3 linked regions of the Callithrix jacchus genome follow. The protein of the gene in region 1 binds, or shares a complex with, the protein of each later gene. Links are inferred from orthologs where the notes say so. Each region holds a gene or a part of one and is shown in the gene's direction. Other genes may lie near its edges.

What was found.
Region 2: the proteins of LRP6 (region 1) and DKK1 are in contact, whole or in part, in a crystal structure (PDB 3S8V), measured with the Homo sapiens proteins. The link is inferred for Callithrix jacchus from reciprocal best matches to the Homo sapiens genes LRP6 and DKK1. Residues at the interface, in NP_001401174.1 of Homo sapiens: Arg639, Glu663, Ser665, Ile681, Tyr706, Glu708, Thr724, Arg751, Trp767, Gly768, Gly769, Pro771, Val790, Gly791, Arg792, Asp811, Thr812, Asn813, Leu814, Pro833, His834, Phe836, Trp850, Ser851, Tyr875, Met877, Arg1184; in NP_036374.1 of Homo sapiens: Glu185, His204, Phe205, Trp206, Ile209, Gln218, Val219, Thr221, Arg224, Arg225, Ser228, Gly230, Leu231, Glu232, Ile233, Phe234, Arg236, Ser258, Leu260.
Region 3: the proteins of LRP6 (region 1) and SOST are in contact, whole or in part, in a crystal structure (PDB 6L6R), measured with the Homo sapiens proteins. The link is inferred for Callithrix jacchus from reciprocal best matches to the Homo sapiens genes LRP6 and SOST. Residues at the interface, in NP_001401174.1 of Homo sapiens: Arg28, Asp52, Val70, Ser71, Glu73, Leu95, Ser96, Asp98, Glu115, Arg141, Trp157, Trp183, Asn185, Ala201, His226, Phe228, Trp242, Met269, Arg336, His361, Asp379, His404, Asp406, Thr422, Glu447, Arg449, Trp465, Trp491, Asn493, His534; in NP_079513.1 of Homo sapiens: Leu115, Pro116, Asn117, Ala118, Ile119, Gly120, Arg121, Arg169, Thr171, Arg172, His174, Asn175, Gln176, Ser177.

Annotation. Positions count from the first base shown.
Region 1 is NC_133510.1:11,101,893-11,111,530, forward strand, and holds part of LRP6 (low-density lipoprotein receptor-related protein 6), read left to right. Parts: intron 1-1,815; coding exon 1,816-2,012; intron 2,013-5,220; coding exon 5,221-5,352; intron 5,353-7,870; coding exon 7,871-8,267; intron 8,268-9,283; coding exon 9,284-9,455; intron 9,456-9,638. UniProt on the Homo sapiens protein: Component of the Wnt-Fzd-LRP5-LRP6 complex that triggers beta-catenin signaling through inducing aggregation of receptor-ligand complexes into ribosome-sized signalosomes.
Region 2 is NC_133513.1:77,882,102-77,892,449, reverse strand, and holds DKK1 (dickkopf-related protein 1 precursor), read left to right. Parts: upstream 1-4,456; 5' UTR 4,457-4,636; coding exon 4,637-4,879; intron 4,880-5,117; coding exon 5,118-5,280; intron 5,281-6,493; coding exon 6,494-6,634; intron 6,635-6,750; coding exon 6,751-7,004; 3' UTR 7,005-7,851; downstream 7,852-10,348. UniProt on the Homo sapiens protein: Antagonizes canonical Wnt signaling by inhibiting LRP5/6 interaction with Wnt and by forming a ternary complex with the transmembrane protein KREMEN that promotes internalization of LRP5/6.
Region 3 is NC_133506.1:70,624,445-70,634,824, reverse strand, and holds SOST (sclerostin), read left to right. Parts: upstream 1-4,795; 5' UTR 4,796-4,842; coding exon 4,843-5,062; intron 5,063-7,778; coding exon 7,779-8,200; 3' UTR 8,201-8,940; downstream 8,941-10,380. UniProt on the Homo sapiens protein: Negative regulator of bone growth that acts through inhibition of Wnt signaling and bone formation.

The DNA of each region.
Region 1 (9,638 bases):
CAAGTGGGGATTTAAGCTCATCTCTGATTTCTAATGTTATACGTTCAATTAATATATAAAATGAACATAGCTTTTGGGAATTTTGCCTTTTCCATATGATTATTTTCCTATTTAGTTCAGTAGAGTGAATTTTAACTTTTCATTTAATGGTATACTAAGAACCCTTTTAAGGCTTTTTCCCCCCTTGAGTTTTTCAGAGCAGTTTTTTAAGATAGTTGAAGTGCGAAGTAACTTAGTTTTAACTACTCTTTATTTTTCATTTGTGTTACTTGTCTTTTTTGGCAGCTTCCTCAGTTGTCTCTCCGTGTCTTACCATGAATTTTAGAAGACTTTAGTGTGAAATATACAGGTCTGTTTAAAATTGAATGTGAACTGTGCTGACACCCTGTAAAGAATATAGTCTCCTTAGTAAACTTAATAAAACTGTCCATTTAAAAAGTGGAAGAAAGAACTTCAGGAGTAGGCATTGTGGCAGTTCTCTTTGGGAAATGAGAGAGAATAGTAGTCTTTTTACTTAGGGAAGAGAGGATTAAGGAAAATGAGAAAACTAGTGATGTGGGTTGGGAGTACAGGTATCTTGCCTGAATATATAATGCTTTAGACTAAGACTGTTCCATGGGCAATCACAGATGCTAATTCTGCTTGCACATAAAAATGATCTGAATTGCTTTTGATTTAATATATTGGTAGTCTGTTAGATAATAGAAATCATCAGTTAACCTCAAGGACCTGAAAATTGAATCATCTTCCTTAAGACATATGATACTTTTGATTTCTCTTCAGTAGCTTATGTTTTCCTTTCCCCTTTCCCTTCGTTTTTCTTTCCCTTCCTCCTCTTCCTCTGCCCATCTCTGCCTTCTGGGTGGGCTATTGGAAAATGGATTTATGAAAAGATCAAAGCATGTATTTTCTTGAATGTTAAATTTGACTCAAATCGTGATTTGGTCATTATTCCAGAGCATTTGCTTATTCCGTAACTGTCTCTGATACTCTACAAAGTTCTGTGCCTTAAGTACTAACCAGACTGTCTACTTTTGCTTTTAAACAGTATGTATTGCTTGTGAAAATGTTGGTTCTGCTTTATCTCCTGCACATATTCTGCCAGTGGCAGGACTTCTTTTTGGCCGCCTGAATATAGTGAAAAGCCAGCTAAGATGATTATTTGCTGGAGCTAGACTGGGGTTTGCAGGGAGAGTGCTACCTGCATGCCATTTTGGCCTCATGTTTATGTTTCATTCTCAGTTATCAAAACCATAAGAAGGGATGGGCAAAACGGGCTCAGATTCTTTGTTCTTCTGTATCAAGAAGAAAAGCAACCTATTGCTTATATAAATCTACTTCAGTGCCAACTGTAACCCCTGTGATTTTTCTCATTACTTACCCTTCTCAGTCTGATAACATGAATTAAGTGAAAGGATGGATGCTTTGAGTCCAGAGATGGTAGTTGAAGGGTAGGATTTGACAGCAGTGCAGACAGTGAAAAAGCAGTGCTGTCTCTCTGCCGGGTATCTTATACTGAACTTGAGCCTGCTGCCAAGTTAGGGGCCATTTCGAAGTACTTGTTTGGGGGTTTTTGGACACCTTAAAAAACTTACATGAATTCATCATGTGAATTACTTTTTATAGGTATATTAGACCTAAAGGTATGTGTTACTCAAGATTTGTATGTGTTAATGAGACAGAGTGTCACTCTGTTGCCAAGGTTGGAGTGCAGTGGCACAATCTCAAGTCTAAGATTACTTTAATGAGAGAGGTGACGTTATGATAGAAGAAGAAAATTTAGAAGTAAGTTTGAATTTTTCTTTGTGTTAATAGGCAGGCAGTGGTTAAAGGTTCCCTTCCACATCCTTTTGCCTTGACGTTATTTGAGGACACATTGTACTGGACTGACTGGAACACACACTCCATTTTGGCTTGCAACAAGTATACTGGTGAGGGTCTGCATGAAATCCATTCTAACATCTTCTCGCCCATGGATATACATGTCTTCAGCCAACAGAGGCAGCCAAATGGTAAGTGATCCTTGATTTTTAAATTGCAATTTGGAACAGCTTTGTAGCACTCTAATGTCTGGCTTTAGTGAGGATCAGGAGGAGGGAGGGCATATCCAAAGGTAGTTGGTGGGAACAAAAAAGAGTTAAAATCTCAGCACTTTGGGAGGCCAAAGCAGACGGATCACATGAGGTCAGGAGTTTGAGGCAAGCCTGGCCAACATGGCGAAACCCTGACTCTACTAAAAAAAATTAGCAGGGTGTGGTGGTGTGTACCTATAGTCCCAGCTACTTGGGAGGCTAAGGCAGGAGAATCACTTGAACACGGGAAGTGGAGATTGCAGTTACTCGAGATTGTGCCATGCACTCCAACCTTGGCAACAGAGTGAGACTCTGTCTCAATAATAAAAGGAAAAATGTGAAAATATAATTCCGGTTAGATAGTAGCCTAGGCCGTTTGTAGCCTGTCACTGCAGACCCCCTCAGCACTTTTCTTGGGTCAGCAGTTATAGAGGTAGAGACGAGAGAGATAATTTAAAAATTGAGATAGCTTATATGCTAGGCTTATACACAAATGAATTTTTTATTCCTATTATTTCTTTCAAAAATTGTGGTTGAGTGTGTTCATGTGACTATGTTTAAAAAACAAACTCTTGGGCCAGGCGCAGTGGCTCACACCTGTAATCTTAGCACTTTGGGAGGCCAAGCCTGGTGGATCATTTGAGGTCAGGAGTTTGAGACCAGCCTGCCCAACATGGTGCAACTTCGTCTCTACTAAAATATCAAAAATATTAGCTGGGCTTGGTGGCACATGCTTGTAATCCCAGCTACTTGGGAGGCTGAGGCTGGAGAATTGTTTGAACCCAGGAGGCAGAGGTTGCAGTGAGCCGAGATCATGCCATTGCGCTTGAGCCTGGGCAACAAGAATGAAATTCTGTCTCAGGGGAAAGAAAACCCTCTTTTTTTTAAATGAAAACTCTGTTAATCTAGAATTTATTTGAATATAAGTACCTCAGCTTGCTAAATAAAACACCTACTTAAACTTTTCTGTGCAGCCTTCCCACCTTGTTTTCCTTAGTTTTGGTTCTATTTTTGGTCAGCCTTTACAATGACTTGGACTATGACTGCTGACAACTTGTAAGAGAGGACTGGAATTAGGTTTAAAGGAAAATGAGAATGTTAAGGGTTTGGCACTTGTGTGTAAATAAATGTCTGGCATGTGTCTGAGTGTATTTCAGATTTTATTCCATAGCCAAAAATGAAGAGTGTTTGTACCATGTGTTGCTTTATATTAGCTCTTTTCATTTAGGTGGAGATAATCAAATATTGAAAGTGTTATGTTGGAATCCAATGATCATGAGCCCATAAAAATGTTTTTAAATGTATGTGTTACTGTTCTGTACAAAAGAAAACGTTCAGTCACTCATATGAATTTTTTTATTCTCTATAGCCCTCAAAAGAATTTTCCCTGTTTTTTGTTTGTTTTTTTGAGATGGAGTCTTGCTCTGTTGTGTGTTGATGTGATTACAGCTAACTGCAGCCTCGAACTTCCAGGCTCAATCGATCTTCCCACCTCAACCTCCCAAGTAGCTGGGACTATAGGCATATGCTGCCACCACCATACCTGGCTAATTTTAGTTTAGTTTTTTTTTTTTTTGAGATGGACTTCCATTCTTGTTGCCCAGGCTGGTGATTCTTCTACCTCAGTTTCCTGAGTAGCTGGGATTACAGGCATGTGCCACCACGCCTGTCTAATTTTTTGTATTTTTAGGAGAGACAAGGTTTCTCGATATGCTGGTGTCGATATCCTGACCTCAGGTGATTTGCCCACCTTGGCCTCCCAAAGTGCTGGGATTATAGGTATGAGCCACTGCACCTGGCCTAATTTTAGTACTTTTTATAGACGCAGGATCTCATCTCTCCATGTTGTTCAGGCTGGTCTCAAGCTCCTGGACTCAAATTATCCATCCATCTTATCCTCCCAAAGTGCTGGGATTATAGTCATAAGCCACCGTGCCTGGCCTCCTGTTTTTCTTTTCTTTTTTTTTTTTTTTTTTTTTTTTGAGACGGAGTTTTGCTCTTGTTACCCAGGCTGGAGTGCAATGGCGCGATCTCGGCTCACCGCAACCTCCGCCTCCTGGGTTCAGGCAATTTTCCTGCCTCAGCCTCCGGAGTAGCTGGGATTACAGGCACGCGCCACCATGCCCAGCTAATTTTTTGTATTTTTAGTAGAGATGGGGTTTCACCATGTTGACCAGGATGGTCTCGATCTCCTGACCTCGTGATCCACCCGCCTCAGCCTCCCACAGTGCTGGGATTACAGGCGTTGTTTTTCTTTTTAAATGGCACTGTTGGTCCTTTATGTTTTAGTAATTTGAGAATTTACAGTTATCTTTCATATTGATTACTTTTATCTTTCATGTTCCATTGCTCTCCATCTTCTGTTGATTTTTTTTCTATGAGTATTGTTTGGACATGTCCCTTTTCATAATTTCTAATTTTGCTAATTAGTTTTCTCTGCTTTTTATTTCCCCACTTTTCTGCTTATTCCTTCTATGTTAATCTTCCCAAAGCATGACTTGTTAACATAATTACTTTTCTTGGCTTTCAGTGTCCTTCACCTCAGTCTGTTCCCATTCTTCATACTCATTCAGCTTTAGTTTCTATTAGTCAATAGAAACCGTAACCTCCAGTTATACTGTTGATCTTATTATCTTAACTCGTTTATGGCCCCCAAGGTTTTATTCAGATAGCTTTACCACACTTGAAATGTCCTCTTACCTATCCTTCCACAAAGTGGATATAATTATCCTTAAAGGCTCCTGTGCTAGATCCTCCACAAAGTTCTTCAATTCTTTAAACCTCAGGGTTTTTTTTTTTCCCATTTGACTCTGTACTTGTTGTCTATAATGTGTAAAATAACACTTAGTTTTTTTGATTTCTATTTGTTTTAGTTTTTCTTTTTTTGTTGTTAATTTTGTTTAATGGACTAAATTATAACCTCTTTTAGGGCAGGGATTTCCTGTTTTACTTCTTTTATATTCTTTGGATACAAAATACTTAGTAAATTTACACTGATTATTTCCTTTCCTTGCAATGGTTTGGTAGTTAAGCACCTGCATGACATTTGGTAATAATTTTGGCTTATCACAGTTGTTCATGTTATGGTTGTTAACCTTTGTGTACTTAGTAATCATTGGTATTAATCAATGTGATTTATATTTGACAGCTACAAATCTATGTGCAATTGACAATGGTGGTTGTTCCCATTTGTGTTTGATGTCTCCAGTCAAACCTTTTTATCAGTGTGCTTGCCCCACTGGGGTCAAACTCCTGGAGAATGGAAAAACTTGCAAAGATGGTAAGACATTATCTAAAATGAAAAGTTTTAAAACTATTGGAATTCCTCATTATTTGTTTTTTCTATAATTGGCTGTCTAGGTTATAGTGCTTTGGGAGACCAGTCACTTAATCTCACAATCTTCACACATGGTTATAGGAGTGTTTTATTCTATGACATCATTTGAATGCTATTTTATACATTATTTTCGTGTTGTAAGTAACATTTTTGAAAAAAATGACATGCTCTATCTTTTCTGTCAAATCTCATAGTTATCGATACCAAAATTGATAACTATAGAAATGAGTGTTACTTCTCATAAAGAATATATTTTTAACAGGTAGCATTTGTAAATAAAGAACATCTCTGAAAGGAAATATGTTTATTAAACTTTTAGTTACAAAGAATATGAGATACATTTTCTAACAAATGATTTAAGGATATTTTAAATTGCTTTTTAACAATAGAGATGCTTTCAGAAGAAGAAAAAAATACATATTGTACTGTTTTAAACAACTTCTTTTTATACTTAAGAAACACACTGCCTCTTCTCCTTACTCTTAATTCCCTATAGAGAGAGGGCATGTTGGAGAAAGTATACTGATTTAGGACATTTCAAGGGACTTCTGGTTTGGAAGAACACCAGTTCTTCTGTTTTTCTTCTTAATGAGAATGTTATTCATTCTCATCCCTATGGATCACCATCTTGTTCTCTAGCAACCAGCAAGACCTGGTAAGAAAATTGTTATATTTAGCCATGGCTTCTTTATCTAACCTGAAAAGCAGAAGCCTGTACTTTGGAGTGTGTTAGAGTCCCTGGCAAGGGGGCCAGGGAGTCAGAGAGATGGAATTGAGTCTGTGTACAGGATATTTGTTATGACTTGGCATTGATAAATTATCCTTATAGTAAAAGGTGAAGCTGGCTGACTCCTGTCAAATGGTTTCCATGGCAGACAACAATTTGGTTTCAATTTAAAACAAAAGGTTTTTGTAATGTTGCTTTTTTCTTTAAAAATGTAGCCTGACTACATAAACAGAGGATTTATTTGAGCAATAATGGGTCTATCTACTCCCTCACAGCAGTGCAAGTGTACGTGTTTAACCAGTTTTGAATTTCATGTGTGCATTTGGCATGTAATAGCCTTAAGTTTAACTGTTCTGTTTTGATCACCTTGCTCAAATTAACAGCTCTATGACTTCTTTGTGAAGTTCTGGGCTGGCGCCTTTTGGTTGTTAGCTGGAGCAGTGAATTGTGCAGTTATTCCTGCTTGGTTCCTGCTATCGCATTTGGGCTGTATTTTCTCCAGGTTGGAATTCATTTATAATTAACTCTAGAGTGAAAAAGCCGATATTGAGAGCCTTCACTCCTTTTCTCCGTCTTTTAACCTGTAATTCTAGATAGACGCTTGAAGCTTATATGCCAGCATTCTGTTTTGGACTCATTCGTTTAGCTGGGAATCTTTTCTTGCCCTTTCAGCTGTCAATTTGCTTACCGTCTTTTATTAGCTTCTTATAGTAAGATAATTTTTTGTTGGTGGTTTAACATTTAAAATGAAAAAAGATTGAGCTCAATATCCTCATTCTCAGTTATGTGGTTGAATATTTGGGGCTTGGGCTTAAAACATTTCATAAATAAATCTAATTTTAAATTCAGTGCTTTATTTTTTAGCACTATTAGTAAGTATTGTTAATGTTTCTTGAGTACTTCCATGTTCAGTACCTTCCTGAGTTATATATTTATCTCCTTTAACCCTTACAGCAACCTTACGAGGTATAGATGAGAAAACTAAGCCTAGAGAGATTAGATATTTTCCCAAAGTTTGTGTAGCTACTTGAATCAGATTATATTGGATCTGCAACTCTTACTGTTAACCACTGTGTTATGTTTATCTGGTTTCTTCCCTCCGTTGCTACTGTTTACTTCTCCATAGCTTGCTTTGTTCTCAATTCTGTGAGGTACTGCCTTATATTTCTCTTTGTTAAGACAGCTTTATTGAGATATAACTTACCATATAAAAATCCGTCCATTTTTTTAAGTGTAAAATTCAGTGATTTTTAAAGTAAATTTACAGACTTATGCAGTTATCACCACAATCCAATTTTAGAACATTGCTATCAACCACAAAGGTTCTTGTCCTAGATTTCTTTATCTTTTTTAAAAAAAATGCTTCTTGAACAAAGACTCTGTATCCTCCATCTCTTTCTCCTTTAACACTCAGCTACTTAGTCATTACATAGTCATTATTCATTGTACTTTTAACTAGCTGGATTAATTCCAGAAGCTGTAGAATCAATGAAACCATAGAGTGTGACACAACTTGATTTGAAGACATAGTTGTTAAACAGCTTGCCCTCAGAGTAGACTCTCCCTATTTCACTGTATTACCTTCCAGCTCCACTCTAAAGAGAGCTCATATCCTTTTATGTTAATTTATGTAATTAATATATATTTTATATTTATTTTTCAGTTGATTCTTTAGAGCAGATAAATTTTACCTCCGGGTTTCAAACTGTTTTTCGTTTCGCTTTGTTTTTCTAGGTGCCACTGAATTACTGCTTTTAGCTCGAAGGACAGACTTGAGACGCATTTCGTTGGATACACCAGATTTTACAGACATTGTTCTGCAGTTGGAAGACATCCGTCATGCCATCGCCGTAGATTACGATCCTGTGGAAGGCTACATCTACTGGACTGATGATGAAGTGAGGGCCATACGCCGTTCATTCTTAGATGGGTCTGGCAGTCAGTTTGTGGTCACTGCTCAAATTGCCCATCCTGATGGTGTTGCTGTGGACTGGATTGCACGAAATCTTTATTGGACAGACACTGGCACTGATCGAATAGAAGTGACAAGGCTCAATGGGACCATGAGGAAGATCTTGATTTCAGAGGACTTAGAAGAACCCCGGGCTATTGTGTTAGATCCCATGGTTGGGTAAGAAGCTCTACTGATAGTAAATTCTGTGTGGTATTTCAATTTTTCACAGGTTCCTAAAAACATTGACTGAAATAACATAACATATATTGGTTTCTAATAAACAGGTAATTAGAATACAATCTCAAGTTAAAAAAATTGCTAGTTTTTTGCCTTGGATGTTTTAGGTATTTTTTCTTTCTAAATTAAGTCCATGTTTGCTGACTTTGGGTGTTGTCTGCAGATTTTGCTCATATTGCATCATTACCATGAAAAATGTGGAAAGAAATTGTTTTCAGAACTCTTTCCCTTTCCCTGGAAGCTTCAATTCCATTTTAAGTATTTTATAGTAAGAATATAGCTTACTTTATGTTTCCCTAAATACGTGAATGACTTGAATTCCAGAACTTTGTCCGGCCATGCAGCTTTACTCCTAGCTTCTTGTTGTTTCGTTTTGCCATGCCACCCTGACTATATAGTCTAGGGAAGTACCACTTCTTACATACCCAACAGTTTTATTGTTACTGTGATATTCTGAGGACGAGCATAGTGACAAATTATACCTCAGTATATATCAATGTCTTAGAGCCACTTAAACATCCAGGAGCCATAAGAATCACTTAGCACTGCAGGAAGAAATGGTTATTTTTGTAATTCTGTTTGCCGTCTGATTGATATTGCTGGGATAATCCTTTTGTACCAGAAGTGACAAGCCGTGAAGGAAGAGAGAAAGTTCATGGAAAAGGGCACAAAAATGTTTAAAAAAAAAAAAAAAAAAGGTAAAACTGGAATCTCATTATTGGGAGGCATTTTCAGGATTGGCTCTAAAACATGCTGTTTGATGTGAAAATTTCCTACAATCTTATATACTGCTGTGATAAATGTCTTAAACACACTCTTCATATGTTTTTTTTTTTCCTTTCTATGGCATTAACTGATGATACCAGTGTAATAGGAGGAGTGGATCTCACCTTTAGAATATCTGAAAGTTATATTTTATTGTCTATTTTTAGCTCATTCTTTGTATACTTCCATAGGTACATGTATTGGACTGACTGGGGAGAAATTCCGAAAATTGAGCGAGCAGCTCTGGATGGTTCTGACCGTGTAGTATTGGTTAACACTTCTCTTGGTTGGCCAAATGGTTTAGCCTTGGATTATGATGAAGGCAAAGTATACTGGGGAGATGCCAAAACAGACAAAATTGAGGTTTGTTTTTTGCTTTTTCATTTTGAAGCCACTTTTTAATGGGTTTTGAGTCAATAGTATAATAATTTAAGTACAGATGTGCTTACTTCTTAACAGTTGTCTGGGGTGCCAAAGGTACCTTTTACAGAAATTATACTCAACCTTCATGATTCTAGGGAGAATATATTCTCTTCCACATAATCC
Region 2 (10,348 bases), on another chromosome or scaffold:
AGGATCGCTTGTGCCCAGAGTTTATTACCTCTTTTAAGGAGGTAATAATAGGAACCCAGTGACATGGAGGAAAACTGTGTTTCTGTAAATGTGGAGACTGTTTCATGGGACCCTACATCCTGCTTTCTGCAGACACGGGCCTATCCTTAGGGTTGGAGATGTTAAATCCTTTAGGGGACTCAAAGGGGCTATTGCGCTCCCCATACCCACACACTGCAGCCCTTTCTGAGTGTGAGGACCTCAGAAAAGATGTAGGCAGATACCTATCTGGTTTAGGCACCATCTTCACTGGGTTTTAATTAAATGTTTCTGGGTTCCAGACTCTTAGCTTTTAATGTCCTGCTCCAGTAAAACACATCTTCTGAACTTGATTAGGAAGCTACCACGGGGCCTGACTTATCTGGGCTGGCCATCTCCACTGCTCGAATAAACGTAATCACGGCCAAATCTTGCCTTCTGTTTGTACTGAGGAGTGCAGAAAATCCAGCTCTCAGGGGAGTTAACATGGAACACAGGTCAAAAAGTTCTTTTAACATTATGAAGAACATTAAGACCAAACTGTTTTAAAAGTCAATGAGAAAGTCACAGCATTTTTTACAAAACATCAGGAAGGAGGAATCCTGCTATAAATACAAGATTGACACTAGCAAAAATGTTAACACCCACTATAAGGAATGATATTTAGGTAGTATTTTCCTAAGCAGAGTAAAATTATACAGCAACAAATTTGCTTCTTTTGATTTAATCAAGAGAAAGAAGGAAAGAAGTAAGGTAGGAAAGAAGTAAGATAGGAAAGGTAGTAAAAAAGAAAGGAGGGAATTCAAAATACAGCCATAGACTGGGCACCATGACTCATGCCTGTAATTCCAGCAATTTAGGAAAACCAAGGTGGGAGGACTGCTTGTACCCAAGAGTTTAAGACCAGCTCTGCCTGGTAACAAATTGAGACCCCGTTTCTACAAAAAAAGTTAAAAATTAGCCAGGTGCGGTGGCATTTAACTGTAGTCCCAGCTACTGTGGGATGGGGTAGGGGGATGAGGGGGTGAAGTGGAAGAATTCCTTGAGCCTGGGAGGTCAAGACTGCAGTTAGCTGTGATTGTCCCACTGTGCTCCAGCCTGAGCAACAGAAGGAGATCCTGTCTCAAAAAAATATATAAAATTAGAAAATTAAGCAGTCACAAATAACAGAAATGGAAAAACGGTGAATAGCATGGTGTGTTTTGGAGTATATTTGTCTGTCTCCCTCATGGATGAAAAGGTTGAGGAATATTCTATGCCTGGCATCCAGCACTTAAAATATAAAGAAGACATATGTTATTATGCTGTTCCTGAGTTATGAGGTTCAATTCCACGCTGTTAAGCATATTTCACCTATTTAAAAATATAATACAAAATATTAAACTTGTTGCATTAATTATGATCATATTTATACCAAATCAAATAGGAGGCAGGGTTCCCTACAGGACTAAATAAACTCAGTTTAATAAACTAAATTCACCTGCCCTGGTGCCCGCCTCCTCTGTCACCCAGCTGTAAGAAAGACTCGATCACCAGAACTCTCTCTCTCTTTCCTGACAGGTGTTGGTCACAGTTCCTGCTCCTTTTTCTTATTTCCCCATGACCAAGAATGTGCCAAAATATAATCAATGTTAGAAAAATGTTTACCTCCATCCCCATATAAGTATACTGTGTTTTCCCAACTACTCACAGACTGAAAGCTTTCTGAGGACAAGAGATCTGCCTTTCATATTTTGAGATATGCTCCCAATAACAGGTACTCACTGAATATTAACCAGCTGCTGATGAAACAATGAGGTTTACTGTACCTCTTTACCTACCTTGCACTCTTGTTGCCAGTGAGCAAACCACATCCTGGAAAGGATTTTCAAATGGAGAATCCACTCAAAAAGTATATTTCCCCATTTGGAACAAAGGGTTGGTTTACTGTGTTCTTAGCCCTCTCTGAGGAACACCCATATAATTTCTTACCTGAATATTTTGTGAGGTTACCTCTCTTCTGCCCACTATATGATCTGAAGGCAGATTATATGAGAATTCATCTTTTATCACTCGATTATGTATAATACTTAGCACAAAGTACGAACTCAGATATTGACCAACTCATTCTTCGTATTAAATTCATGACAACTTCAGGAATGTGAAAGATGAAGAAGGCAGAAGCTGGCCCACTCTTGAAACTCTGTGCTTGGTTTAGCTCTCCTAACTCAATACCACCGATTCTGTCCAGATTCAATGAATATTGAAACATAATAGACCTATGACCTATGTTCAGAGATCAAGGTTGAATTTATGCAACGGGCCTCTTTGTTATAACAGAATTCTTTTGTTAATTAAATTGTTCCACTCTTTTCTTTTGCCCCAGGAAATGGATTTTTTTGTGAAGCCAAGCTTTTAATGAACTAAGTTCATTAAATGTATTAATCATGTACTATCTCTTCAGTAAAAAAGGCAAGAGTTTGGCCGTAAGTGGGGCACAAATATATTTCTAGATTCTAAATATTTAAACAGGTAATAGGATTAAAAAGAAACATTTTCAACCTTGCAATTGGCAGGGGGATTTTTCTCTGCATTTCAACATCATTCAAACTTAACACAGCTTGCAGATTTTCTAGTACCCTGAAGGTGTTTAACGCATTGATTCCTGACAGGATAATTTCCTGGACAGATGGAATTTGGGATGGGAGGGATGCCAGTATAACTAGGGCACCATTCAAGAATTGTTTAGATGATGTTCTTAATATTACCTTTGAGACCAAAGGAACTACAACACAGACCATGGCAAATTGTGTTTTAATTACTCCTTCCCGTACTAAAGTTGAGAATTTCGTTACTTTAACACCTTCACTGGCTTTACTTGGTAGTGGCCCCAGTTCTGACTTTAGTAGGTCAGCATTATAGACAACCTAAATCTATACAGCTTAGAGGAGCACGGAACAAATATATCTTACTCTTTTTTATTCAATAGTGATTATTAAATCATATCTCCCTTTTCCAAACTCACAGAACAGTTGCTTATTTTCTGACACTTATAGTATCAACCTGCTTTAAAAGCATTATGTACATTTTTTATATTTATTTCTATAATTTTATTGTTACATCTTTTATTACTGTAATTAGAATAAAGAGAACTTTATTCTCTAAAATGAGAACTCTGTCTCATAAATATTAGTATTCACTGTGCCCTTTCCCCCACCACCCATCTCACCTAAACATTAAAACAATGAGGCAACAACCCAGAGGGCCACCCAGTACCAGGGCTCTAGGCTTCCAATGTGTTTTTGTTGAATTAAATAGATGACTTTCCATTTATAAGCATGATGCCATTCTTATATATCAGCCTTACTTTATTCTATCTACACAGCAATTTCAATGACGTCAGATTCACTGTCTAATTCACTTTCAGCTCTCCTCCTCCACGTAGTTTATCTCCCTAGAAGGTGTATTGCGTGGTCCTGTGCAAGGTTTGACTTGGGAGCAAACACTGCGTTGGGAAGCCTTGTGAAACCGTTTGCTAATGAGGAAGTCGGGATCTAAGCCCTAAGGGTTTCTTATCTCCCCGCATTAGCCCACCACTGAGAAGGCAGAACCCGAGAAAGGCGACTGACCCGGCACGTTGGACCCCGTCCGCTTTGGCCCCGGCCACTTTGATCTCACTCGTCTGCCTAATCAAGTTCATCTACTGCCGCGACTGCCCTGATTCAAAGAACAACATTAAATAGTTTGATTATCGGACGGGCATTTCCCTCTCCACTCCAACCTTGATCTAATTTCTAAACGCCAGTCTCTCGCCTCCCTCTCTAAACTTCCCATCAAAAGAGAATCAGCTCCTCTTCCTTCTTACCCTCGTTTGATGTGCAAATCTCCTCTTTGCACATTTTTATCGCAGTGGCGGGGGGAGGGAGGAGGAGGGCAACGGAACGACCTTAAAGCCAGGGACCTAACTCAGATCTACAAGCTGCGACTCTTAAAGGGTTAATGAGTAATGAGCAAAGAGGCGTCTTGCTAGAGCCACTGAATTACAGATCGGTTTGTATTTAATACTGAATACGACTTGTGTGCACAGTCAGCGAGTGTTGGCGTAAGCGAGAGGGGCGAAAAGTGCTTTTGCAGAGCGTGTCACCCCCTCGGCTCTGAAAAGTATTTCAGATCCGGATAATCCAACCCTTACCGCCAGGCAAGGGCACCCCTGTTCTCAGAGTTCCTCCTGCCGCCTGCATTTATTAAAGTCGTCTGCTCTGATGCTCGCTGGTCGCCCTCACCCCGAAGGTGAGCCGGGCGGGCCGAGCGACCCAGCAAGGGCGGTGGGTGAAGAGTGTCAAAGCCCCCCCTTCATGTACACAAACACACCCCCTCCCAGCCCCTCCCAGCGCTTTGAAATCCCATCCCGGCTTTGTTGTCTCGCTCCCAAGGGGCCGGAATGCTCCGGGCCGGCGGTATAAAGGCAGCCGCGGTGGCGGTGGCGGCTCAGAGCTCTGTGCTCCCTGCAGTCGGGACTCTGGGACCGCAGGGGGCTCCCGGAACCCTGACTGTGCAGCCGCACCGACACGGTTTCGCGGGGACCCAGGCTTGCAAAGTGACAGTCATTTTCTCTTTCTCCCTCTTGAGTCCTTCTGAGATGATGGCTCTGGGCGCAGCGGGAGCTGCCCGGGTCTTGGTTGCGCTGGTAGCGGCGGCTCTCGGCGGCCACCCTCTGCTGGGAGCGAGCGCCACCTTGAACTCGGTTCTCAATTCCAACGCCATCAAGAACCTGCCCCCACCGCTGGGCGGCGCTGCGGGGCACTCGGGCTCTGCAGTCAGCGCCGCGCCGGGAATTCTGTACCCTGGCGGGAATAAGTACCAGACCATTGACAACTACCAGGTGAGAGGCGTCGGGGAATCCGGGGATGCTGTGACCTTGAAAGGGTCGTATCTGGAGAGGAGGGAGTAGAACGTGATGAGTGTGTGCGTTTCAGCGAGCATTTGGTAACACTGCATTTGGGAGCCGTGGATGGTAACAGGTCCTGGAGAGGGGGACAGATAGGGACTGTGATCAGGTCCACTAGTGAGGGTACCTGAACGTCTGGATGCCTCACCCTCTCCCCGAACCCTTCCCACAGCCATACCCGTGCGGAGAGGACGAGGAGTGCGCCACCGATGAGTACTGCGCTAGTCCCACCCGCGGAGGGGACGCGGGCGTGCAAATCTGTCTCGCCTGCAGGAAGCGCCGAAAACGCTGCATGCGTCACGCTATGTGCTGCCCCGGGAATTTCTGCAAAAATGGTGAGTTCTGAAAGCTCCCTTTCACACGAAAACTGCCCGGCCTTTGAGCCTCTATAAATGGGGTTGGTGGGGGGGAGGGGGGAGGCGCGGGGAATCTCCGCCCTGAGAACACTGCGGCGCCACCTGCTAATGGGTGTACAGCAGTCAAGATTCAGCTGAAGTTATCTTCTTCATTGCAAGTGTTTGATCGGGAAGGAGAGAGAAGTTCGGAGGTCTCTGAGGTCCTTATCTTCCTCTGGGTCCCTCAATGATTTAACACAATGGCTTACCTCGTAGTGGACGCTTCCATAAAAATGTGTCTGGGGAGAACCTTGAGGTCAATTGAGAAGAGGGGTGATGGGTAGGACGGCTGGATCATACAGAGAGACCAAAGAAACCAGCTTTGGCGTTCAGCTGCCCTTTCCATTTTTCTTACTCTGTCTCTCACAGCTCTGCCAGACTGGCCTCTCCTTCTGATCCTTGGTGAAACTGTTGTCGGCCAGAGGACAGTGATTTATCAGCATTGGCCGTTTTCAAGAGAGATCTTGATAGGCGCACAGCCTGACCTCTCCATCCTTCCCCCTCCCTCTCCCCTCTGCTGCCTTAGTATAGGTACTCTTCCCCCAACCACAGATCCACTGACTCTTAGTTTTTCAAAGAGGTGGATTTAAACAGCTAAAGAGGTCTCCCGAAATAAACTAACAGGGCGACGGCCCTCCTTAGGACCCAGCAGTACTCCGGGATGAGCTAACTGAATCTCTGTAATATAGAAATTACACAGTAAAGTAACTGGTGGGTGAGACTGCAATGTTCCAGGCAGCTGGAATTGCATTTGCTTAACTTAGTCTGGCAGTACCCACATAGCACCAGGGGGAGAGAAGTTATTTTTAAGAACATTTTTTAAGTGACTGATTTTCTATTTCTTAACCCAAGGGTAATATTAAAATGGGCATAAATCTCACTTGCCCCTACCACAGTTGGTGGGAAAGTATTTTGAACGGCTATACTAGGTATGTAACATATGACTGACTGGATACAGTGTACACATTGGTGCTTCTGTCCATCTGGAGAGCTTTGCCTTAACAGTAGAGAGGAAGTTCGGCTTGTTTTTAAAATGATGTCACTGCAACGAAGTATCTCAAGTTGGTGCTGGCATAGCAGACTGCCACTGTCAGAGCTGTTAGCAGTAATGCATTACAACCCTGAAGTTAATCACTATTTCCTGCTTCCTTAGGAATATGTGTGTCTTCTGAGCAAACTCATTTCCGAGAGGAAATTGAGGAAACCATCACTGAAAGCTTTGGTAATGATCATAGCACCTTGGATGGATATTCTAGAAGAACTACATTGTCTTCAAAAATGTATCACACCAAAGGTAAGATGTTAAGACTCATTTTTAGCACATCAGAGGTGTCTTTTGAATTATTTAATGAAATGATGCAGGTTTACCAGTAACTGTGTACTTTTTTTCTGCTGTCTTCTCCTGTGTAGGACAAGAAGGTTCTGTCTGTCTCCGATCGTCAGACTGCGCCACAGGATTGTGTTGTGCTAGACACTTCTGGTCCAAGATCTGTAAACCTGTCCTCAAAGAAGGTCAAGTGTGTACCAAACACAGACGAAAAGGCTCCCATGGGCTGGAAATATTCCAACGCTGTTACTGCGGAGAAGGTCTGTCTTGCCGGAATCAGAAAGATCACCATCAAGCCAGTAATTCTTCTAGGCTTCACACTTGTCAGAGACACTAAATCGGCTATCCAAGTGCAGTGAACTCCTTTTATATAATAGATGATACGAAAATCTTTCACGACCTTCATCAACTCAATCCTACGGATATACAAGTTCTGTGGTTTCAGTTAAGCATTCCAATAACACCTTTCAAAAATCTGGAGTGTAAGAGCTTTGTTTCTTTATGGAACTCCCCTGTGATTGCAGTAAATTACTGTATTGTAAATTCTCAGTGTGGCACTTACCTGTAAATGCAACAAAACTTTTAATTATTTTTCTAAAGGTGCTGCACTGCCCATTATTCCTTCTGTTATGTAAATTTTTGTACACATTGATTGATATCTTGACTGACAAATATTCTATATTGAATTGAAATAAATCATTTCAGCTTATAGTTCTTAAAAGCATAACCTTTTCCCCCTTTTAATTCTAGAGTCTAGAATGCAAGGATCTCTTGGAATGACAAATGATAGTATCTAAAATTTAACAAGAAAATACTAGCATATTTTCTGAAATGTACTATCTTAATGCTTAAATTATATTTCTCTTTAGACTGTGATAGTTTCTGAAATAAAATTTAACATGTAATATGAAATGTTATAAGTAGACATATTTTGGGATTGTGATCTTAGGGGGGTGTGTGTGTGTGTGTGTGTGTGTGTGTGTTCTACGGGAACAGAAGTGTGACATGTTTAAAGATAATTAGAGAAAAGACAGTGTCTAAATATAAGAAAATACTGATCAGTTCTAGAATAACTTTAAAGAAAGATGTAATCTGCGTTGATAAACTCAAACGATCATAGTAGAATGAGAGTGAATCTTACATTACTGCTTTCAAAAATAGTTTCCAATAAATTAATAATACCTACCTAAACGGTCAATATTTTTGGAAAAGGAAGAAAATTGTCCACAAAAATAATACCTCAAAGTACTTGGAGGTTGTTGGGAACAGGATGCCTGCCCATAAATACAGTTAACAAATACATGCAGATTTTATATCAAACAAATTAATTTGAAGTATTTTAAGTACTACTACATGCAAAGGAAACTTGTTCTTACTTTGGTTTTAAAATAATTATTAATTAAAAATTACAAATCCTTCCTTATTCCACTCTTTTTTGCTCTTGCTAGGTGAGTTTAATATTTCAAGTATTGTTTAGCCTGAAATCTACTGATTGGAATGAGGATAGGGATACAGCATTTAAAAGAAAACCCACAGGAATGAAATCTAAATTGTCTTTGCATTTTTACTTGCTGAATTTCATATTGTTTATGCTGAGGAAAAGGGAAAGCAAACTTCCCAATGTATACTTTTTCTGTAGTATTCTAAAGTCTGTGCCCAAACCACAAAATGCTGTGTTTCAGGCAAGCAAAGGATAGTAGTGACTGATCAATTGTGCAAATATTTCCTTAACTAATGCAGATGTCCTAGACTGTTTGTTGTTTTTGTGTTCCTGGAAGTGGTTCAATTTCAAGGGGCTCAACCAATGGGACACAAGCTTTGGTTGGTTCTTCACTGAGAGAGGAACTGGCAGGATGTCTGCTGTTACATTCCTTTTGTCTGGAAGTCTCAGCTTCCTCACCCAGGAGAAACTTTCTTTTTCTGCATGTGCTTGTTTTCTGAAGTGCCAGGAAGGCCAATTCTAAGGCCTGCCATCTCCAATAAAGCACAATCAAGGAAAGGAAACAGGAAACTTTTTCTTCAAAAAGAAGAAAGAAGAGCCTTCTGCTTAAGTGGGGAAAAAAGCAAACTTTTAAAGGGCTGTAGTTATTGGATCCCTTCCATTCTACAGGAAGGGACCTCAGTACATTGACCCTCGTGATAGCCCTTCTTGCTTCTCATCTCCAGATGACAGATGTGTAGAGGAATACAAAACCAATCAAAGAGGGATGCCTCTTCTTCCATTCCAGCTGAGAAGTTAGGAAAAGGTTTTCATTAAAAAGAATTCTTCATATTTATTAAGGTGGAAAATATCAAGAAAATTGTAGATATTCTACTAGCTAGTAATGGAGGCTAGAAGATGGGAATCCGATAAAATGCAAATTCAAAAGAGGATTATTTAAGGAATCTAGAACAATTTGTGTAATGATTGTTTACAATGCTGTTGTTGCTGTGTGACTTTTAAACAATGCATTTTAATGGAAAATACATGCACCTGGGAAAATTTCACAAGGTATTTTTATGTCAAATGTTAGTATACTCTACACACTTCCCCGCACCTTCGTTTTTTTACTTTATGTGTCTTGCAGATCATTTTCTATAATACATAGAGAGGTGACTCATTCTTTTTAAAGGTTACATTAAGTTCGTAATATGTTGGAATGGCAATACCATAATTGTTTTAACCAGTGACATTTAAGTTGTTTCCAGAGTTTTTGATCTAACAAATAATGTGTCATGAGTATAGAGTTTTTGTTTGTGTGCCAATATAGTTGTAGGATGACTAATAGTTGAAGCAAAGTCCAAAATGCATGCTTTCTGTAGCTACTCAAAGTCTGGTATGGGCAAAATGTCAAGATGCCTGCTTATCACTGACCAAGTGATGATTAAGCTCTCGCTAAACTGTATCAAAGGAGAAAAAGGGAAAGACAGGCTTATCCTAACAATTTCACATTGAACAGTAATCTCTGGCATTCAATTAAAGCTAGACTTGTTCTAATTATTTTGATTTTGAAATAATTGTTAAATAAAATCACAAGCCTTTTCTCACCACTTCCTTTTCTTGTTTTGCTAGAAGAGTTGAATATTTCAAACTTTGTTTCATCTATTGATAGGAATGAGTCTGGCCCTTTGTTTTTAAATTGGTGACATTATCAAACTTTATCATACTACTGACTTTCTTTCATAGTCTTAAAGAAAAATAGACAAAACTACCATTAGGCTTATAAAATGTCTTCCACTGCAATGTTCATAACTTCTAAAATACTATTCTGAGGACAATATCAAAATGTAAAATAAATACATTATCTATACGTTAAAGAAGAAAATAATTTCATAATTTAAGCATCCGATATTTGTACAAAAGTGTATGTACATATGTGGGCCTTTATATATTAAGTGTAAGGGTCGACAGCTTAGAAACAGTCAATCACATCACTAATCTAAGACTACAGTCTAGGTAATGCTAGGGAATTTTAATTCAGTAAACATTTATTTAGCCTGCCATGGCCAGTGAGCACTATGCTAGCATTTGAAAAGACGTGAATAACATTGGTCTTTAACTTCAAAGAACTTACTGTTTAGCAAGGGAGACAATGAACATTAGTGCTGGAAGTTGGTTAGTAGAGTGGTTAGAAACAGTCTCTAGAATTGGAAAGATTGGGGATTGAGTCATGGCTCCCTTAGTAATGTAGATGTGACACT
Region 3 (10,380 bases), on another chromosome or scaffold:
AACTGTTCCAGAAAAAAATAAAGTCCTTTTAGGAAAAAGCATGTGAACGTTTTTTCAGTGGCACTGATCACCTTCCACCTCGCAGTGGAGTTGTTTGGATGCAGAATTTATTTCTTCCCTGGTATGCGAGCTCCTAGAGAGGAAGTGCGTGTGTCCCTTGCTTTATTAAATGTTTGGCAAGTGAACATAGGAAGAAGCAACTGGATAGAAACAAAAGATATAAATAATCACATGGAAAAACAGCTTTTCTAGAAATTAAGATACAACTATTCAATTTTTAAAAAATCGGCTGAGTGCAGTTGCTCCCGCCTGTAAGCCCAGAACTTTGGGAGGCCAAGGCACGTGGATCATCCAAGGTAAGGCGATCAAGATCAGCCTGGCCAACATGGCAAAACCCTGTCTCTACTAAAAAAAATACAAAAATTAGCCGGGCATAGTAGTGGGAGCCTGTAGTCCCAGCTACTTGGGAGGCTGAGGCAGGGAGAATTGCATGAACCCAGGAGGAGGAGGTTGCGTGAGCCAAGATCAGGCCACTGCACTCCAGCCTGGGTGACAGAATGAGACTTTGTTAAAAAAAAAAAAAAATCAACAGCCCCAACCCAGTATCAACAGTCTGATTTATGTGTTGAACTGAATTTCTCTCAAATGCATATATTGAAGTTGTAAGCCGCAGTACCTGAGAATGTGACTTTATTTGGAAACAGGGCTGTTACAGATGTGTTTCGTTAAGATGAGGTCATTAGGCTGGGCTTAATCTGCCTGGCGTCCTTAGAAAAAGGGGAAAATTCAAATACAGAGAGGATGCCATCTGAAGATGAAGGCAGAGACTGGGGCTGACTCTTCTGCAAGCCAGTGAATGCCAAAGCTCCTCAGCAGCCAGCAGAAGGCAAGGGCAAGGCCTTCCTCACATCCTCAAAGGAACCAACTCTGCATCTTGAACTCACACTCCTAAACTCCAGCTCTGCGACAGCTTCTGTTGCTGATCCCGCCCCGTGTGTGGTACTGACTGACGGCAGCCTCAGCAAAGTGCCACCTATGGGGGCCTCTGTGTTGTGGGCGAGGGCGGGGACCTGGCTGAGTTTTCTGGAAAACAGCCCTGCAATACCCTCATCAGACCCACCAACTTTTCACTCCCTCAGACACAGCATTCACTTTGAGAAATAACTCTAAAGTTTTTTTGTTTTACTTTGTGGAATACTACTCAGCCAAAAAAAGGGAAAAAAGGAACATGTTACTGATATGTACAACTTGGATAACCCTCCAGGAAATTATGCTGAGTGAAAAAAAATCCCCTAAGGCTACATACAAATTTATTCCATTTATATAACTTTTTTTTTTTTAACAGTCTCACTCTGTCACACAGGCTAGAGTGCGGTGGCTCAATTTCAGCTCACTGCAACCTCTACCTCCCAGGTTCAACTGATTCTCTTGCGTTAGCTTCCTAAGTAGCTGGGACTACAGGTGCGCACCACCACACCAAGCTAATTTTTGTATTTTTAGTAGAGACAGGGTTTTGCCATGTTGGCCAGGCTGGTCTTGAACTCCTGACCTCAAGTGATTCACCTGCCTCAGTCTCCCAAAGTGCTGGGATTATAGGCGTGAGCCACTGTGCCCGGGTGCATTTAGGTATCAGTTTTGAAGTGAAAAAAAAAAAAAAGACAGAAATGGAGATTAGAATAGTAGTTGCCAGGGGTTAGATGTGGGAGGGAGGTGGGTAACGGGAGAAAAACCTGTGGTCACAGAGCTGTGGTTTATCTTGGTGGATCCCCAAATTTACACGTGACAAGATTGCATAAGAACTAAGTATACACACACATGAATAGTTGTGCACACACAGAGTACAGGTAACACTGTGGGAGATGTGGATAAGATTGGCTAATTGTGTCAATGTCAATATCCTAGTTGTGATATTGTCCTGTAGTTTCGCAAGGTGTTATTGTTGCGGGAAACTGGATAAAGAATACATGGAGTCTGTATTCTTTCTTTCTCTTTCTTTCTTCCTTCCTTCCTTCCTTCCTTTCTTTCTTTCTTTCTTTCTTTCTTTCTTTCTTTCTTTCTTTCTCTCTCTCTCTCTCTCTCTCTCTCTCTTTCTTTCTTTCTTTCTTTCTTTCTTTCTTTCTTTCTTTTTTTTCTTTCTTTCTTTTTTTGAGACAGGGTCTCACTCTGTTATCCAGGCTGGGGTGCAGTGTCACAATTGTGGCTCACTGCAGCCTCAACCTCAACCTCAACCTCAAGTGATCCTCCCACCTCAGCCTCCTGAGTAGCTGAGACCACAGGTGTGTGACCCCATGCCAAGCTAATTTTTAAATTTTTTGTAGAGATTAGGTCTCATCATGTTGCCCAGGCTTGTATTTATTTCTTACAAGTATATTTAAGCTTACAATTATATTCAAATTTAAAATTTTAATTAAAAAAATTACTCTGAGGCTGGGTGCGGTGGCTCACGCCTGTAATCCCAGCACTTTGCGAGGCAGAGGCAGATGGATCTGAAGTCAGCAGTTCAAGAGCAGCCTAGCCAAAATGGCAAAACCGTGTCTCTACTAAAAGTACAAAAAGTAGCTGGGTGTGGTGGCACACTCCTGCAGTCTCAGCTGCTTGGGAAGCTAAGGCAAGAGAATCCTTGAGCCCAGGAGGTGGAGGTTGCAGTGAGCTGAGATTGTCCCATTGCACCCCAGTGTAGGTGACAGAGCGAGACTGTCTCAAAAAATAAATAAACCATACAAAGATGTTCATAGTAGCCTTGCTGAGAATAGGAAAAAATTGGAAATAACCTAAACTACTCACAGTAGGAATGAGCTAAATAATTCCAGGGAATACTGTGAACAATGCCAAGTCTGTGGACTGAGTATAACTAAACGGCTGTGGATGACTTCGCATTAAACAAAATGGCACAAGATATCATAGCAGGTTCTTGCTGAGCCATTCAGAGGGATGGAGGTCATTTAGAGGTTCAAGTCCACTGGAGTCTTCTTTTTTTCATTTAATATTAGTTCACTTCCAAATAAAATAAGGAAAGGAAATCATGCCCAGTCCTGAGCCTTACCATCCTTGCGACTGAAGAATCGTCCTTCCTTTTGTCTCCAGCAGGTGGCAGACATGTTCCAGGGATGGATCCTGCTGTCTCTGCAGATGGTCCAGCCGCTCCCAACAGCAGGTGGGGCTCTAAGCATCCATCCTGTCTGCTCAAGGAACCCAGGCATCAGAACTGCTCTCTCGCAAGTCCATTGCAAGAAGGCAGTTGTCTGGCCACGAGAGGGTTAACAGTCCACATTCCAGAGCAAGGGAAAAGGAGGCTGGAGGGTCACAGACAAGGAGAGGGGGTGTGGAGGGCCAGCTTCTCACAACACTATCGGCTCTGCTGGGAGAGATAGATCACCCCCAACAATGGCCACAGCTGTTTTCATTTGCCCTGAAGGAAACTGACTTAGGAAGCAGGTATCAGAGAGGGCCCTTCCTGAGGGGGCTTCTGTCTGGCTTGTAAAACTGTCAGAGCAGCTGCATTCATGTGTCAGGTGATGGATGATGGAAAGGACAACAGTCAGCTGCAGATGGACACAGCCACTTGCAAGTTGAGGCAGGTGGCAAAGGCCTTGCAGAGGCTCTGCAGGTGGGGCGTACTGATTCATTCATTGCCCAGTTAAAATACCAGGAGGATCTGGGCAGCCTCTTCCCAGGAGCTGCTCATCCTCAAAGAATCTGTCTTCAATGAAAGCTTCCTCCTGCCCTCCTTTCTATTCTTGCACCTCAGGCGTGAACCTTTCTCCCCACTGCCTCTACCTGCCCCCGGGTCCTGTGCCCCTCATCCTATGCAGAGCCAAGTTTCTCTTAGCTGCTTTGTGACTGGTTGGTCCTGGGGTGGCTTCATGGAACACAACCTGTGGTATGCACCAATGAAGATTCCCATATAGGACCAGAAACTGTTTTTGAAAAATGTAACCGGATGGAAGGCGAGAAAAAAAAATGTCAGCACTAAAAAATGCTGGCCATAGCTTTTGCTAAGGAAAGGAATTTGGTGTTATCTGCTCGCACCCACAGCCTGGCTGGGAAATGACTGTCTTCAGCCCATCCCCCTGTGAGCCACAGTGAGGGTCCTGGCTTGGAAGTGCCTGTCATGCCTGTCGCGGTGCACAGGATCCCTGAGGAGCGTGAGCTGGGATTTCCTCTGTGAGCCACATCACGGGAGCCTGAGTGACCAGCACATCCTCCACTCGTAACCAGAGTCCTGTCCCCTCTCCCAAGTGGCCACCCTTGCTCTGGCCCTCTAGTTCTCTCTCTTGCCTTCCAGAAAATGCCAAGAGAGAGGCTTCCTTGGTCAGGACAGTCAGTGCTGAGACTTGTGGAGTTGGGACCAATGGGATTTCTTAAAAAGCATCTTTCTGCCTCTGGCTGGGTCTATGGGGGTCAAACAGACACCCTGTGGGCCATTTGTTGGTGGGGTGGCAAATGAACTTGGCTTGTTTTGAGAATGCCTGAGGGCCCAGGGACAATTAAAAGCCGGAGCTCATTTTGATATCTGAAAACCACAGCCACCAGCACGTGGGAGGTGCTGGAGAGCAGGCTTGGGCCAAGCCTCACACGCCCCCTCTCTCTGGGTCACCTGGGAGTGCCAGCAGCAATTTGGAAGTTTGCTGAGCTAGAGGAGAAGTCTTTAGGGAGGGTTTGCCCTGAGCACACCCCTTTCCCTCCCCCCGGGGCTGAGGGAAACAGGGGACCAGCCCTGCCCCAGCCTGTCCTCATTGGCTGGCATGAGGCAGAGGGGGGCTTTAAAAAGGCAACCGTGTCTCGGCTGGGGACCAGAGCCTGTGCTACTGGAAGGCTGCGTGCCCTCCTCTGGCTGGCACCATGCAGCTCCCTCTAGCCCTATGTCTCATCTGCCTGCTGGTGCACGCAGCCTTCTGTGTGGTGGAGGCCCAGGGGTGGCAGGCCTTCAAGAACGATGCCACGGAAATCATCCCTGAGCTGGGAGAGTACCCCGAGCCTCCACCAGAGCTGGAGAACAACAAGACCATGAACCGGGCGGAGAACGGAGGGCGGCCTCCCCACCACCCTTTTGAGACCAAAGGTATGGGGTGGAGGAGAGAATTCCTAGTAAAAGGGTCCTGGGGAGGTTTTAGAAACTTCTCTTTGGGAGGCTTTGAAGACTGGGGTAGACCCAGTGAAGACTGCTGGCCTCTGCCAGCACTGGTGGAAGAACAGTTTTGACTGGAGGCGGGGGAAGGATGGCTCTGGTGCAGCCTTTGAATTCAGGTGCAGGGGCATGAGGCCAGGTGGAGTCTGTCAGTGAGAGTCCAGGGCAGGGAGGAGGCTGGGGTGGTGAGGGTATGGCATCAGGGCATCAGAACAGGCTCAGGGGCTCAAAAAAGAAAAGGTTTCAAAGAATCTCCTCCTGGGAATATAGGAACCACGTTCAACTGCTGGTACCATTGGGGAGGGAACAAGGTGAGGGAGCCTCCCATCCACAGAGCAGCAACTGTGGGGTGCCAGACACTCTATGCTGCCTGTGGCTGTCCCCACCACACAGGAATCCCAGGAGGTGAACCCCCAGCTCAAAGGGAAAGAAACAGGTTCCAGGCACTCAGTAACTTGGTAGTGAGGAGAAGAACTTGGTTTGATTCAACTGCAAGACAGCCCTGGTGTGCAGGTGTGCTGGGGACAGATCCCCACAAAGCAGTGGGGAGGAAGGCCAGAGAGGCACCCCTGCAGTGTGCATTGCCCATGGCCTGCCCAGGGAGCTGGCATTTGAAGGAATGGGCATTGTCGGCACAGGTTTAGCCCCTGACATGGGTGCAGCAGTGTCCAGGTCCTAGAGGGCACACAGCATCCTCTGTGCCGGAGTAGGCACATCTGTCCTCAGTGGCCAGCCCAGTCCCAGCCTTGCCTCATTCCAGGGGAGGGAGAAGGAAAGGAGAACCCTGACAGGTTCCTGTCAGGCCTGCACAGAGAAGCCCAGTTGACAGTGTGCACATTTGCTTCTACGGTTGGCAGGAATCACGGGGCTGTGGGTGGGGACAGGAGTGACACTTCAGACCAAGGGCTTCACTGCCCTCTGGCCATTATCCAGGTGGCAGAGAAGCCCACTGCCCAGGCTCCTGCACCCCAGCCTTCTCTGCCTCACAACATGTTGGGGTTATGGGGTGCTAAAAAGGGCCACCACAGGGGAGGCCAGCCAGGACCCTGTGCCTTTGAAATGGAGGGCAAAGGTGCCTCCTCCCACAGCCCCCCTTCTAGGCAAGGTCAGCTGGCCTCCAGTGACTGCCTGAAGGGCTGTAGGGAACCCAAACACAAGCTGTCCACCTTGCTGGGCTTCCCTGAGGCGCCACGGCCCCGAGGAAGCCACATGCTCAAAACAAAGTCACAATCTGCAGAGGAAGTGACTGACCTAAGGGCACTATTCTTGGAAAGCCCCAAAATGCCCCCTTCCCTGGGCAAAGGCCCCCCCAGTACACATCCCAGCCCTACAAAGGTGAGGGTGCAAACCAGAAAGCAACCCCAGACGATGGCAGTGGCCACATCTCCCCTGCTGTGCTTGCTCTTCAGAGTGGGGGTAGGGTGGGAGTGGCCTTCTCTGCCCCCTCTCTGGTTTGGTCTGAAGACTATTTTTGATTCTTTCATGTCACATCGGAACTATCCCCATGAAACCTCTGGGGGTGGACTGGTACTCACACAAGGACCAGCTATTTAAAAAGCTCCCACCCAAGTCCACAGTAGGAGACATGGTCAAGGTGTTCTCAGGGGATCAGGCCATTCCTCCAAACCCAATCTCCGCCCGCCCAGGGAGTATCACCATGAGGTGCCCATTCAAATAACACAGAACAAGAAATGTGCCCAGCAGACAGCTGGGTGAATGTATGTGGCTGCTGCACCTGTAGGTTTTGGTCAGAGTTGAGGCCTCTACTAGAGCAAAAAGCAGCCCTCAGCTCTGTCCCCCAGCCCAGCCTCCCACCAGTGCTCGAACGCACAGCCTCCACTCTTATGGGAGCCAAAAGGTGCTGCGACCCCAGGAAGTGAAGTCTGGATCACACAGCCCTGTCTTTTGGGCACGTTCTTTTCTGTGGCTGGGCCTCAGTATTCTTACTGATAACGAGAGGGTTGGACACTGTGCCTTTGATTCCTTTCAAGTCTAATGAATTCCTATCCTGATCACCTCCCCTTCTGTCACCTCCACAGCAGCTGCCCTGATTTATTACCTTCAATTAACCTCTACTCCTTTCTTCATCTCCTGTTCACCTCCCCCCAAGTGGCTGGGAAAGGAATTTGGGAAAAGCCAGAGCCAGGCAGAAGGTGTGGCGAGTACTTACTTACCCTGCCCAGGCCAGGGTCCCTGCGGCATAAGTGTGGCTTAAATCATAAGAGGACCCGTAGGAGAGAAATAATAATAATACATAATAACAGCTGATGCTTCCAGCTGTGTGTGCCAAATGGCATTCTCTGCATTGCGTGCCTAATGGATTAACTCACAATGCTTGGGGCAGCCCATTTTACAGACTGGAAGAGAGAGGTTAAGGAACTTGCCCAAGATGCCACCTGCAGTGAGCGATAGCCCTGGTGTTTGCACCCCAGCAGCCATTTGGCTCTGAGGAGACAGGGTGCGCAGGAGAGCTTTCCACCAGCTCTAGAGGATCTGGGACCTTCCTGCAATAGGTGTTCAGGGGCAAAAACCTCTGGAGACCGGGAGAGGCGGGCTTTGCAAAAGCAGGGCTGGGGTGGAGGGGGCCAGGACGGGCCAGAGCTGTGGTGGCCGCGTGGGCGGCCACCCTCACGCGTGTCTCTCTCCGCAGACGTGTCCGAGTACAGCTGCCGCGAGCTGCACTTCACCCGCTACGTGACCGACGGGCCGTGCCGCAGCGCCAAGCCGGTCACCGAGCTGGTGTGCTCCGGCCAGTGCGGCCCCGCGCGCCTGCTGCCCAACGCCATCGGACGTGGCAAATGGTGGCGCCCGAGCGGGCCTGACTTTCGCTGCATCCCCGACCGCTACCGCGCACAGCGCGTGCAGCTGCTGTGTCCCGGCGGTGCGGCCCCACGCGCGCGCAAGGTGCGCCTGGTGGCCTCGTGCAAGTGCAAGCGCCTCACCCGCTTCCACAACCAGTCGGAGCTCAAGGACTTCGGGCCCGAGGCAGCGAGGCCGCAGAAGGGCCGGAAGCCGCGCCCCCGCGCCCGGGGCGCCAAAGCCAACCAGGCTGAGCTGGAGAACGCCTACTAGAGTCCACCCACACCCCACCCCGCGGCAGGCGCCCCGGCCCTGCGCCCCATATTTCTGTCCTCCACGCGTGGTTCGATTGTTTATATTTCATTGTAAATGCCTGCAACCCAGGGCAGGGGGCCCAGACCTTCCAGGCCCTGCAGCATCCCGGGCACCAGCAAGGCTCACCTCAGCCGGTGGTGATAGGGGAGGGAGTTGAGAGTCACAGACACTGAGCCACGCCGCCCCGCCTCCGGGGTCGCCTACCTTTGCTGGTCCCACTTCAGAGGAGGCAGAAATGGAAGTGTTTTCACAGCCCTGGGGGTTTAAGGGAGCCGTGTGGGAGTGTGACAAGTCCAGGGACCGGTTAAGAAAGTTGGATAAGATTCCCCCTGCACCTCACTGCCCATCAGAAAGCCTGTGGCTGCCCAGAGCACAAGACTAGGGGCATCTGTAGATGTGGTTTCTAGTCCTGTCTCTGCCACTAACTTGCTGTGTGACCTTGAACTCCACAATTCTCTTTCAGGACCTCAATTTCCACTTTGTAAAATGAGGGTGGAGGTGGGTTTAGGATCTCGAGGATTCTACTGGTGTATGGTTCCAAGCACTCCAGTGCCTTTTGAATGGGCAGAGATGAGAGAGAGAGAGAGAGAATACATGAATGAGGTTGCATTGACTCAATGCCAATGTCACTTCCAGAATTCTGAGTTGTGATGCTCTCATCTGACAGCCAAAGATGAGAAACAAACAGGAAAAAGAAAGAGTAAAGAGTCTATTTCTGGCTGACATATTTCTGGCTGACAAACCCCTGGAAGAAGCTAAGTTGCTTCCCAGCCTGGCCTCCCAGATGTTTGGCTATCTCCACCCCTCCATCTCAAAGGAATAACATCATCCACTGGGGCAGAGAAGGAGAGGGTCCTGAAGGTGGTGGGAGGGATAGAAACCACATCCCTCACCGACTTCCCAAAGAGCAGCATCCCTGCCCCGACCCACAGCCATTTCTTAAAGTCACCTCCGAAGAGAAGTTCAAGGTCCCACAACACTAGTCTAGCAGGCCCGAGAGAGCAGCCACCACACACTCCCAGACCAGCCACCTTCTGCCCACCGCTCACAGACACATTTCTGCCTAGAAAACAGCTTCTTCCTCCTCTTACATGTGATAGCATTTCTTACACTAAAAGAATATTATGGGGAGAAAGATCACAAGTGCTGTACATATGCTGAGTGGCTGCAGAGCGTAATAGCTGCCACCCAAAAATCTTTTTTAAAATCATTTCCAGACAACCTCTTACTTTCCATGTAGTTTTTGTTTTTTTTAAAAAAATGTTTTAAACAGAAGCAGATGCCATACGAAAGCCTGCAGGACTGGTCGTTTCTTACAATCCTTCCACGTGGGACTTGTCCACAAGAATGAAAGTCGTGGTTTTTAAAGAGTTAAGTTACATATTTATTTTCTCACTTAAGTTATTTATGCAAAAGTTTTTCTTGCAGAGAATGGCAATGTTAATATTGCTTATGAAATAACAGTCTGTTCTTCCAGTCCAGAGACATTGTTAATAAAGGCAATGAATCATGACCGAACGATGTGGTCTCATTTTGTTGACCACACGCGATACCATTTATGTCAAAGTTGACACCCTTCTGTCGGTCACTAGGGCTCAAGCCTTGGACACAGCTTTGACGGCTCTCTGGTGGCCCTTGTGGCAATTATGTCTTCCTTTGAAAAGTCATGTTTGTCCCTTCCTTTACAAACCCAGACCTCATTTCTTCACCCAGGGCATTGTCATAACCTCAGCCTTGTCTCCTTTTACAGCCTGCCCTCCATGCTGGCTTCCAAAAATGCTGTTCTCATTGTATCACTCCCCTGCTCAAGAGCCTTCAATAGCTCTCCCTTGCCCAGGATCAGGTGCGGGTTTCCCAGTCTGACATGGGAGGCCGTTCCTGCTTGACTCCCACCTCCTACTCTGCCAAGCTTCCTACCAACTCCAAATGGTCGTGCAGGTCCCTGCTTCCTAAGTTTGCCATCTACACTGAGCACCCCAATAACTAATCCCCTTTCTTTAGGATTCATGTTGTCACCTCTTCCCCCCATGTTGCAGAGTAGTCCATCTCCCACGATCCTCTCTCCTCCGAGGTTCCAGCCCCTTTTGTCCACACCACTACTCTGGTTCCCAATTCTGTTTTCCATTTGACAATCATTC